3 linked regions of the Rattus norvegicus genome follow. The main gene of each other region encodes a partner of the protein of the gene in region 3 in a complex. Links are inferred from orthologs where the notes say so. Each region holds a gene or a part of one and is shown on either strand. Other genes may lie near its edges.

What was found.
Region 1: Lamtor4 (region 3) and Flcn share a complex: the UniProt entries of both Homo sapiens proteins name them as parts of the lysosomal folliculin complex. The link is inferred for Rattus norvegicus from reciprocal best matches to the Homo sapiens genes LAMTOR4 and FLCN.
Region 2: Lamtor4 (region 3) and Lamtor2 share a complex: the UniProt entries of both Homo sapiens proteins name them as parts of the ragulator complex. The link is inferred for Rattus norvegicus from reciprocal best matches to the Homo sapiens genes LAMTOR4 and LAMTOR2.

What each region holds. Positions count from the first base shown.
Region 1 is NC_086028.1:45,097,266-45,100,909, reverse strand, and holds part of Flcn (folliculin), read left to right. Parts: exon of another isoform or gene 1-15; 5' UTR 16-37; coding exon 38-286; intron 287-925; coding exon 926-1,072; intron 1,073-2,489; coding exon 2,490-2,711; intron 2,712-3,538; coding exon 3,539-3,644. UniProt on the Homo sapiens protein: Multi-functional protein, involved in both the cellular response to amino acid availability and in the regulation of glycolysis.
Region 2 is NC_086020.1:176,306,904-176,311,021, reverse strand, and holds the start of Lamtor2 (ragulator complex protein LAMTOR2), read left to right. Parts: upstream 1-1,293; 5' UTR 1,294-1,369; coding exon 1,370-1,437; intron 1,438-1,734; coding exon 1,735-1,897; exon of another isoform or gene 1,898-3,124; intron 3,125-3,620; coding exon of another isoform or gene 3,621-3,698; coding exon 3,699-3,788; intron 3,789-4,118. Other genes in the region: Ubqln4 (ubiquilin-4), read right to left, coding at 299-406. UniProt on the Homo sapiens protein: As part of the Ragulator complex it is involved in amino acid sensing and activation of mTORC1, a signaling complex promoting cell growth in response to growth factors, energy levels, and amino acids.
Region 3 is NC_086030.1:22,370,951-22,375,179, reverse strand, and holds the start of Lamtor4 (ragulator complex protein LAMTOR4), read right to left. Parts: upstream 2,912-4,229; 5' UTR 2,843-2,911; coding exon 2,840-2,842; intron 2,401-2,839; coding exon 2,320-2,400; intron 1-2,319. UniProt on the Homo sapiens protein: As part of the Ragulator complex it is involved in amino acid sensing and activation of mTORC1, a signaling complex promoting cell growth in response to growth factors, energy levels, and amino acids.

The sequences.
Region 1 (3,644 bases), on a different chromosome or scaffold from region 3:
CGTCCTTCCCTACAGGCCTCGGCCATTCTCCAGCACCATGAACGCCATTGTGGCTCTCTGCCACTTCTGCGAGCTCCATGGCCCCCGCACGCTCTTCTGCACGGAGGTTCTACACGCTCCCCTGCCCCAGGGTGCCGGAAGTGGGGACAGTCCTGGCCAGGTTGAGCAGGCTGAGGAAGAAGAGGGCGGCATCCAGATGAGCAGCCGAGTCCGTGCCCACAGCCCAGCCGAGGGCGCCAGCACTGACTCCAGCAGCCCGGGGCCCAAGAAGTCAGACATGTGCGAGGCAAGTGCCCTTTGGGACCGTGAGCTGGTTTTAGCCTTTCTGTGAGAGGTGGGCTGTAGTGGGAGCCTGGGAAACCTCCAAGGTCCTGAGAACATTTTTCTCACCACCCCAGCATGAGCCCTTTTAACCTAGTCAGTGCAGAGGCCGGTCTAGTCTACAGAGAGAGTTCCAGGACAGTCAGGGATGCACAGAGAACCCCTGTCTCGGGGGGAAGAAAACCACACATCATTACACATACTTAAAGGAAGTCGTACCAACTAGAGATAATGTTTCTCCAGAAAAAAGCAAGTTTCTTTTCTTTCTTTCTTTCTTTTTTTCTTTTTTTTTTTTTGTTGTCGTTGTTGATTTTGGTTTTGGTTTTTCTGAGACTGGGGTTTTCAGTGTAGCCCTGGCTGTCCTGGCACTTTACTCTTTAGACCAGGCTGGCCTCAAACTCACAGAGATCCTCCTTCCTCTGCCTCCCTAGTGCTGAGATTAAAGGTGTGCACCACCACTGCCCAGCAAGAAGATGATTTTTAAAAAGTTTTAAAAATTTAAAAAGGATTGTGTTTTCTATATTTAGATATGTTGCCTGCTCCTAGCCAAGAGATTTATTTATTTATTTATTTATTTATTTATTTTGTCGTCCTTTGTGTGCAGGGCTGCCGCTCGCTTGCTGTAGGGCACCCAGGTTATATCAGTCATGATAAGGAGACCTCTATCAAGTACGTCAGCCACCAGCACCCCAACCACCCACAGCTCTTCAGCATTGTCCGCCAGGCCTGTGTCCGCAGCCTGAGCTGTGAGGTAAGGCCAGCGGCAGGCTATCCGCGGGAGACGTGCACGGGGACAGATAGGTTCATTGCTGTTTACCAACACAGGGGGCCTTGCTTGTCAGTGCTGTGTGAGCATGGAAGCAGTCGTTAGAGCCTGAAGAGTAAGTCCCTGTGGACTCGGGCTGTCTACATAGGGGTTGGCATTTCACTTCGAACAACAGACTGGTTTTTCTAGTCCATTCTTGATGGGCAAGTCTCTGAGATGGGACGGTCCCTAGGCAGTGTCACCTTTACATTGTATCAACATGCCATGGTGGAATGCTTAGAACCTTCCAAAGAATGCATCCGGCTGCAGGGCTGGCTCAGTGGTGAAGAGGTCCTAAGTTCAATCCCAGCAACCACATGTTGGCTCACAACTGTCCATAGCTCAGTCCCAGGGGACCTCACACCTTCTTCTGGCCTCCATGGCCACTGCACGCACGTGGGATAGACATATATGCCGGCAAACAGAGCAGAGAAGAAAAATAAAGGTTTAACAACAAACAAGAATGTTTGCCCCTGAGCTTCTGCTGTGGGGCCCGAGTCTCAGCTTCTAGGTCTGATCTGTCCCACAGGCATATATGGCCCCTATCTCCACCTTGTAGGATCCCTGGGCGCCATGGTGCTTGTTCTCAGTGTGCTCTATACCTCCGTCTCCTGCTGTACGCTCAGCAGCACCAGATGCCCTGTGCACAGTAGTCACAGGTCCAGCAAATTTGTCAGGAGGGAGAGACCAAAGGACTCTCTAAAAATAGGGTGTGCTATGGGCTGGAGATAGCTCAACAGCTACGATTCTGTGCTACTGATACGGATGATCTCAGTTTAGTTCCTAATATCCACCCACGCTGGGTAGCTTACAGCCTCCCATGACTCCAAATCCAGGGGATCCAGCACCTTTGGCCTCTGCAAGCACCTGTACTCGTGTTTACACCACCCCCTCCTCCAACCCTACACACCACATTCCCATGATTTAAAGACCAGAAGTAGCCATTGCTTCTGCTGGCTCTCCAGTCTGCCCATCAAGAGCAAGTTGTAACATTTGGTGCCATTCATTGATAGGACACTGGCCTGCTCTGTTCCAGCCAGGCCCTGAGTCCTAACCCCAGCACCACCAAAAACAGGAAAAGAGGGCCTGGAGAGATGGTTCAGTGGTTAAGAGCACTTACTGCTCTTCCAGAGTCCTGAGTTCAAATCCCAGCAACCCCATGGTGGCTCACAACCATCTGTAATGAGATCTGATGTCCTCTTCTGGTGTGTCTGAAGACAGCTACATACAGTATATATATACTTATATATAATAAATAAATCTTTAAAAAGTCTTTAAAACAATAACAGAAACAGGAAAAGAGGCCCACGAGGCTTGAGGTAAAGTCAGGACTTCCCCTAAAGTTACTGTGGCTCCCTCCAAGGTGTGCCCTGGTCGTGAAGGCCCCATCTTCTTTGGTGATGAGCAACATGGCTTTGTGTTCAGCCACACCTTCTTCATCAAAGACAGCCTGGCCAGAGGCTTCCAGCGCTGGTACAGCATCATCGCCATCATGATGGATCGGATCTACCTCATCAACTCCTGGCCCTTCCTGCTGGGCAAGATCCGCGGGATCATCAGCGAGCTCCAGGGCAAGGCCCTCAAGGTGATGCTCAAGGCGGGGCTGTGGCCGTTTGGCATGGATGCTGGGTGCCCGGGCAGCAGTGGTCCTCCTGGCTCTGCCTCTGCTTTGGGCCCACGCTTCAGTGCGGTGATGTCCCGGGCGACCCTCCCAGCCAGCCTGTAACTCTCCTGGTTTCATCCTGGTCTTGAATTCAGAGACCCGCCTGCCTCTGCCTCCTGAGTGCTGGGATTAAAGGCAATCACCCCCGCCACAGCTGTCCTAACTGCTATTCAACCTCTGACTTCTTGCCCAGTACCTTTACTTCCTGTACCCTTCACAACCCAAACTGCCTGCTACTCTTATCTAGACCCCACCTAGGGCACCCCCTCCAGCTGCAGAAGAGCACACAGGCAGGCATGGCCATGCTTTGGTCACAGACCTTTAGACTCAGTGGCCCATTTCTCATTTGTGCTCTGTCCTTGGGCAGTAGAGGAGGAGGCTGTTCATCCTTCGTCCTGATAGGTGGAGTGGCTGGACTGTATTAGAATGTGGCTGGAAGGCATAGGAGCCTCCTATAAGGAGTTAGTCCTGTGTCTGTCACCTGCAAGGGTCTGTGAAATGAACCTGAGTACTTGAAGAACGGTGACTATCCAGTGGAGTCCAAGGAGCCAAGTAGGGGTAGAGAGGAACACACAGAACCCCCTGGGTCAGCAGAACCATTCTGTGAGGCATTGCCAGACTGCTGGCATGGACCGTGTTCTGAGTCAGGAACACAGAGTGGGAGAATCTGGGAAGTGGGGTGGCAGTAACTGAAAGGTTCGGTGGTAGCCATCCCTGAAGAGGCCCTCTTCTCCACCCTTTGTATTCAGGTGTTTGAGGCAGAACAGTTTGGATGTCCACAGCGTGCCCAGAGGATGAACACTGCCTTCACACCCTTCCTGCACCAGAGGAACGGCAACGCTGCCCGCTCTCTGA
Region 2 (4,118 bases), on a different chromosome or scaffold from region 3:
ACTCCCCTCAAGCCTAGGATCCTTCTGGAGCCTGCAAGCAAGGTGTCCCTTCCTCAAGCTCCCCCACCACGCCCCCAGCCCTGGTAGTGCGGCCAAATCGGCCCCTACCCGCGCCACACTCCCCGGACTAGCCCGGGTAGGGCGCCCCCTACCCGCCTCTCCCGCCTGGATGCCCCTGGGTTCCGCCCCGGCCGGGGGCCCGTCCCCGGCGCCAGGCCGTTCCCCTAGGTCTTCCTCTCTACGCTGACCCCTCAGTGCGCTGCTCCCGCCCTCCTCTCTCCCGCGCCAGCCCTACTACCTCCTTGACCGAGGCTTGATCGCAGATCAGGATCTCCTCCTTGTCCTTGGGGGTCTTGACGGTGACCCGAATCTGGGGCCTCGTCTCAGCCCCACTCGGCTCCGCCATGCCGCCGCCCGGCCGCCCGCCAGCCCGCCCAGCTCCTCCTCCTCCTCCTCCTCCTGGCCCGCCCGGCCCGGCTCGGCTCCGGAGCCTCCAACTCCCCCTCCCGCCCCTCCCCAAGGCTCCGCCGCCCCCTCCGGACAGCTGCAGCCACAGCGCCCCGGGCGGCCTGGGGGGGCACTGCAGTTGGGGCGGCCCGGGCCCGAGCGGGGTGCGCAGCTGGCCCGGGCCGGATAGTGCGGCCCGCGCAGAGGGCGGGAGATTCAGGGCCGCCCGCGGTTCCGTCCCGTTTGGACAAAGGACTTTCGGTGTCGCCGTCTCATCTCCGTTCCCCGAGGTAACTATTTTTCTTGAAAGGCAGAATCGGCCAGGCCTAGGTTCGTTCCTGGCTCAGGGCGTCCTTAAAACCTCTGCAGATTCTAACAGTCGTGACCTCCCGGGAACCGCCCCGAGGGGGCCATTAAGGACGGTTTCAGAGACCTGGAGTTTGCCTACGTGGCTTCTCTGAGCCCTGGGTGTCAAGAAAGCAAGACTCTACAGAATTGTGACTAGCGTACAATATTGCTTTAAAAAATGGCTAAGGATGTGCCTAACAGATACAGAGATTTATTATTAGATTGCGATTGACCAGTAGGCACGGAGGCGCCCTTCGCGTGGAAGAGGTTAAAAGTCCTTCCAACATTGCCACTGTCCTTGCGCTCCCGCTCTTTTCCCCCCCACAGCCACATGGTCTGACTGAAAAGCTGAACTATAGTTCCCAGAATTCCTTGAGCGGTCACAAAAAACTACGATTCCCAGAGGCCCCCGCGCGGGGCGGGAATTGGACCACAGCCTCAGTAAATAAGCCCGGTGACTACAACTCCCAGGTGCCTCGTAGCTGGGCTTCCGGGCCACCGGAAGCGATGAGGGAGGGCAAGAGGCTGCGACTGTAGTGTTTGTGGGAGCAGGTCAGGGTTAAGAGACGCAGGCATGCTGCGTCCTAAGGCTTTGACGCAGGTGCTAAGCCAAGCCAACACTGGAGGAGTCCAAAGTACCCTGTGAGTGAACAACAAGAACCCAAACAGCGAGCGCTGAAATGGGGCGGCGTGCGGATCCCTGCAGTAGGGGTAGGGAAGGAGCCCTGCGCCGGGAGGTGGCTAATGTTGCAAACTGCAGCTTCGGGAACCCTGCGTGAGGGCCTCCTCCGAAAGGGGAATCGACAGTTGATTAGCATGTTCCTGGATATATCCAGCACAGATTCTTGCTTCCTGAAAGCGCAAGTAGCTGGAATTGGGATAGGAACTCAGGCCTTTTACTCTTCCTGAGTTTGTTGATATCCTTCCCATTCTTGTCAGGCTGCTGAATAATGAGGGATCGTTGCTGGCCTACTCCGGTTATGGGGACACAGATGCCCGGGTCACCGCGGCCATCGCCAGTAACATCTGGGCCGCATACGATAGGAACGGGAACCAAGCGTTTAATGAAGACAGTCTCAAATTTATCCTCATGGACTGCATGGTATGAAGTAAAGTAGGCTGACCTCGAACTTACAATGATCATTGTGCTTCTGCCTTCTGAATACTGAATTTGCATGTGTTCACAGTCGCACCTTGCCAAATAAAACGTAGATATTAAAAAAGGAAGTGAGAGTAGGGTGCAGGCCTATGTAAGGGTCAATCTCAGCGAAAAGGAGACATTTGTTAAAAGATCTGGAAGACGATTGGAAAGGGTAAGAGCCATGAAGAGATCTTTTGGAAAAATATTTCTAGCAGTGCTGGCTATGGTGGCTTATTCCTCTAGACTAGTACACAAGAGACTGAGGCAGGATCTCTTTTTTTTTTTTTTTTTTTTTATAAGCTCTTTTTTTTTTTTTTTTAAAGATTTATTTTATTTATATGAGTACACTGTAGCTGTCTTCAGACACACCAGAAGAGGGCATCGGATCCCATTACAGATGGTTGTGAGCCACCATGTGGTTGCTGGGAATTGAACTCAGGACCTCTGGAAGAGCAGTCAGTGCTCTTAACCACTGAGCCATCTCTCTAGCCCCGAGGCAGGATCTCTTTGAGTGTTTATTTTCTTTTTCTTTTTTGGTTTTGTTTTTTTTTTTTGGTTTTTTTTTTTGAGACAGGGCTTCTCTACGCAGCCCTGGTTATCCTGGAAGTCTGTAAAATCAGGGGGACCTCAAAATCTGAAATCTGCTAGCCTCTGCCTCTCAAGTACTGGGACTAAAGGCGTGCACCACCAACGACCAGCCGTTGCACGTATTTCCGACAACAGTTGTTGCAAAGGACCTAGGGCAGAGTGATGCCAGGACAAAGATCAGTAAGGATGGAGTGTCATAGAATGGAGAAAAGTTATTAGGAGATAGCACTAAAGAGGCCTGTGGGCTTCCCAGTCCTCTGAAGAATGATAGTGTGCAGAGCACTGCTGTTCTCTGGCTGCCCATTCTTTACACCCCTCTTACCCACTGCTGGACTCCTACCGGGTGCTGGGTCTAGGGCTGGTGCCATTGAACAGAAGCTTCAAAGGCATTCACTGCAGCCCAGCTATAAGAAATGCATTTTAATGGACAGATGGTGGAGCTCAGTGGTAGAGCAGTAGCTTAGAATGTATGGGATTCTAGAATCTATTCCTAGAAACACAATTTGTGTTTTTGAGTCAGAGCCTAGCACACACACTAAAGCAAGTTCCGTGAAGCATCACTTCTCTTAATAAATGAGCCATTTTATTTTTACTTTCAAATGTTGATCCACTTTAATTGATCTCCATTTTGAACAGTTACAAAGTAGGAAAAGAGACATGTAAGTTGTGTGTGTGTGGGGGTCGTTGTTACCTTTTTAAGGTTTATTTTATTCTGTATGTGTGAGTTGCTATGCCCGGATGTTATATTGAGCACCATGTGCATGCACAGTGCCCTCGGGGTGAAAGAAGGCATTGGATCCCCTAAACTAGATGATTGGCAGCACAATGTTGCTGTTGGGAATCGAACTCAAGTCTACTGCAAGAGCAACAAACAAGTTGGGCTATTGTTCCTGGTCCCTCACCTGTTGAGACAATTCAGCATTAGAGAAGAAAGCCCCAATTTCTCAAAGACTTGGTTCCCCAGGATAACTTGGTTAGGACATGGCTCTGCTGAGGCTGGAATTCAGTTTCAGACCCCCATAGCTTAAATGCTGGGCAAAGTTCCCTGTCTGAACTGCCTGCTCTGCCAAGCTTGGGAGACAATATCTATCTCTAGGACCAGAGGAACCCTGGGGAAGGCAGGAACCAAGGATGTCAAGCAGAGTGCCCCAGTGTATTATGTCATTCCCACCAGGAGGGCCGTGTAGCCATTACCAGGGTGGCCAACCTTCTGCTATGTATGTATGCCAAGGAGACTGTAGGCTTCGGGATGCTCAAGGCCAAGGTGAGTACATTCCTATGCTACAAACTTCCTGGGCTGGAACCAGATCTACCTATGCACACCCTTGCTCTGAATAAGGACATGGAATCTTTAATTAGCTTTATTATAAATTTTGGGCACTATAGCTGGGCAGATTCTCAACTGTTCTAACCCAACAATACTGGCTTGGCCTACGTCCCATCCCATGTCCCATTACCTGTCCATCTTCGTCATGTCCCGGCACCTGCTTCTTCATCCTTGTCCAGCTGCTGACTCCTCAGGGCTGACTCTCAGAATTCCTATCTCTTCCTAGAAGTTCCACCTTCTACTTCCTGCCTCTGCTGTAGACCATCA
Region 3 (4,229 bases):
GCCTTCCCTTGTGCCATTTTGTTTCTCATTCTGAGACACCAGGCTTCTTTTGCAACTCTACTGATAGCCATGCAGAAAATCAAAACCTAGGGTGTGATTACCAAGTGATCTATCACACCCCCAGCCCCTCACTGGGGGATTCTAGGCAGGGGCTGTACCACTGAGCCACGCCCTCAGCCCCTCACTGGGGGATTCTAGGCAGGGGCTGTACCACTGAGCCACACCCCCAGCCCCTCACTGGGGGATTCTAGGCAGGGGCTCTCCCACTGAGCCACGCCCCCAGCCCCTCACTGGGGGATTCTAGGCAGGGGCTGTACCACTGAGCCACACCCCCAGCCCCTCACTGGGGGGATTCTAGGCAGGGGCTCTACCACTGAGCCACGCCCCCAGCCCCTCACTGGGGGACTCCTGGGCAAGTGTTCTACTACTGACCCATGCCTTCAGCCCCTCACAGAGGATTCTAGGAAGATGTTCTACCACTAAGCTAACTGCTCAATCTTTGAAGGTTCCACTTGTCCCCAGTCTTCCCACTTGTCCTTGTCTGAAGGCTATGAACCAGAAACACCTACTTTGTCTTTGAAGCTTTCCCTCTGGCTACTTCTAGGGTCAATGAGAAGACAGTAGTCCAGACTTCTCTGGACAAACTGCTTCTACTCCCTCTTCCCACTGATTCTAAATGGGCCCTTTACTAGATTTAGTTCCTTTTGCTCTCAGTTTCTCCATCTGTATATTGGACCCATATTCTGTGCTTGTGGAAGTTTCATGAGAAAACAATGAGAATATTATAACAGTGCCTACATAATAAATGTACTATAACTGCTATCAGTCCATCTCACTCATCTCAGACCTCACTCATCTCCTGTCTATAGTCAGGCCATCAAAATTCCCTTTAGCTACCTCCTTGGTCAGCTTCCTTTTTTACTTTCTTATTTGTTCAGGTACCACAGTACTTTTCTGGTTTTCCCTGCTCAGAGTCCTACAGGATGAGTACATCAGAAAGGTAAGGTACATGCAGAAGTACTTTACCTAGTTATTACCAACATATATTAATACCTCTAAGATGTGATCTCTGGGCTGTGGCAATGGCTCAGTGGATAAGAGCGCTTGCTGTACAAGCAAGAGGACCTGAGTTCAAATCCCCTACCCTACATGGCCATGCTCACACCTGGAATCCCAGTACTGTGGGTGTACAGGCAGGTTGATTGCTAAGGCTTGCTCAGTGTTGCCAGTCTAGCTCCAGGTTCAGTATGAGACCCTGCCTCAAGGAATAAGGCAGAGAAGGGTAAGAGGAGGTCTCTAATGTCCTACACTGGTCTTAGCATATGCATGGGCACACACATGTGCAGACACTAAAAAAATAGATACAATGTCTATAGCCCTTACTTCTCATTGCTACCCGGCCAGTCTCTTAGATGGCTCTCCTGGGACAGTCATGCTACACCATTTCTGTGAGTCACATTTATGTTTTCAAAACCCTTTAAGTAACCCTCAAGATTTGTCCAAAGATATTGAAGCTAGCCATAGGAAGTTCAGTATCAGAGTCTTACCACAGCATCCTTCCTCTTCAAACTGTTTCAACACAAGACCACAACCAGGCGCTGTTACACTCAGGCAAGTATGTCCAGCTCCCAGCCCTGAGAATTCTCTTCCTCGTTCACAACCTTCTGTCTTAGCAGCTCAGCTCAATCCTTGCCTCTAGAGAAGTCTTGCCCCCGCCCCCCAAAATTCTAGGGGCAGGTGAAATGGCTCAGAGCATAAAAGTGCTTGCCTAAGGACCGGATTTCAATCCTCAGGACCCGCATGGCAGGAGGAGAACTCACTCCCAAAGGTTGTCCTCGGCTTTTTTAAAGATATCCCAAATAAAAACATACTACAAGTAACTAACTAATTGAATGACTTTGGTAAAGTTTGGTTTTTGTTTTTTGAGGCTGAGTTACATGTGGTCCAGACTGTGATTTGACTTGATACATAGCCAAAGATGAACCTGAATTTCTAATCTGCCGGTTTCCACCTTCCAAGTGCTGGGGCTACAGATCACGTGCCTCTGTGTTTGGTTTTGTGCAGTATTGGGAATTGAACTGAAGGCTTTGTACGTGCTAAGTAACTCACTCTCCTGACTGAGCTATAACCCCAACCTTTTGGAAATAAGCATTTATACCATATATCCAAACATTAAATATGGCAAGCAGGGAACCACAGAGAGGACAAAAGTAGACAACTGAGAGAAAGCGGGAAATATTTGAAGGGATTTCTGGGTTGTGTGTCCCCAAAGGACCCCGTCACCGCCACCACCCCATGCCTCGCTTTCCCACAACGCACCGCTAGCACTGCACCTTCGCTCAGCACCAGGTAGCCAAGCTGGTCTGGGATTCGTTCCAGCCCTTGGGTCAGTGCGGAAGTCTAGTGGGTAAAGAGGCAAGAGGTGAGAACCATGACAGCCTTGTAAACCCATCTCCCTCCTGGATATAAGCCTTTCAGACCCTCTAAATGGCTTGTAACACTGAGTCTCCATCCATGGTCACTATTGGACGCCTGAGCTCTTCCACTTGTCAGGCAGGTGACCCAGGAGACCTTCCTAGCTTCACAGCCCCTTCTCATTCCAGTGCCCTTATGCCCCGCCCCTTGTGCCATCAAAACTACTCCCGGCCGCAAAACACCCGGTAGCGGAGCCTTCCTTCTCCAGCCCTCCCGGTCGCCTCCCTTCCATCTCTGTTTCCTTTCGGTCCCAGGGTGGACTGGGGGTGACAGCGGAGTGCAAGCCATAAGGGGGTAACCGAAGTTTGGGGAACAGGGACGCGCAACCCTAGGCGCACAAGCCCGCGCATGCGTCCTCACTCACCATGGCAGCCGTAGGTGCAGGGGGAGCTGTCTACCGGATAGGTAGCTTCCGGCTCCAGGCTCCGGTCAGGTGGTTCACCAGCTGACTCTAGCCCAGCCCTTCGCTTGCGCATTGGATGGTGCGTACGTCATCAGACTTTATCAACCACTGCGGAGCGCCGCTTTCCGGACACATTCGTGGATTGGTTGCATTTCCTCGCCACTCAGGATTCGCCTGCGAGATTATCTGAAGAGTTATTGAGCGAGGGGCGGGGCACCTCTCCACCTCCTCACGAACGTGCGCGTGCGCCTAGGCTTCCAAGGAGAAAGTAATGCAGTCTAGTGTTGTAAAGAGCTTTCCCCGTTAGGTGTCACGGTTCAACCTGAAAAGAGAAGTTAATGTGAATGACGATGGTTTACACATGAAAAACTGTTCACGTGTTAATTTTCTGCCTTAGTATACGACCCAAATATGAATGGGTAAATCAAATTTGGTGTATATATGCACACTGTAGTATATTATCAATACAAGGGAAAAACGTCCTGACACCAAGAGCAACTTGAGAATCTCGAAAGCAAGTTAAAGCAAGCCAGAAGAATAGCTTCAGAGACAACTCAGCCTTTAGAGGCTCAGAATCAACCAGAAGGACTGGCTTGAAAGGGCAGTCACATAAGACCACATATTATGTGGTTCCATCTATGTAAGATGCTTAGCTGTGACTGACGCTGAATACTTGTAATACTGGTATAAATCCTGGGAAGCCAAGGAAGGGGGTTTCAAGTTCAGGCCAGATTGGACTGAATAGTGAGTTCAGTGCCAGCCTGAGCTACCTACCAGGAGCCTAACTAAAACACATACACTTCTGGCAAATCCAGAAAAACGTGAAAGCAGTTAGTGGTCGGTAGTGAGGCAAGAGAAAATAGGAAGTGCCTATTAAGGGGGGGGGGGGAGTGGCACGTGTGATTTAAACTTTTTGGGATTCGTATTGAAGTCTGCCTATCTTTGTGACTGTGACATAGGTTGTACACTTTGAATTAAAATGTTTCAAGATCTGTGAATTATATAACCCTCCCCCCCCCCCCCCTTATTTTCAGTGCCGAGAAGCAAAGTAAGGGCCTTGCGCATGCTGGGTAAGAGCTCTCCATCTGGTCTGTATCCCCAGCACTAATCATAGCTCAAGAAAGAAAGTCCTCCACCCCAAATCGTCTTGGTTTAGGAGAAGCAGCTAATTAGAGAAAATGCATGTCTTTAAAAATGAGGCATGGGTCTGAGTTTGAACACTTGCCCAGCATGCCCAGGCCCGGAATTCAACATGGCAACAATTTTGAAGTAGGGCCAGCAAAGAGGCTCAGCAGGCAAAGGTGCTTGCCGCCAAGCCTAATAACCTGAGTTTGATCACTGAGTCCCACAT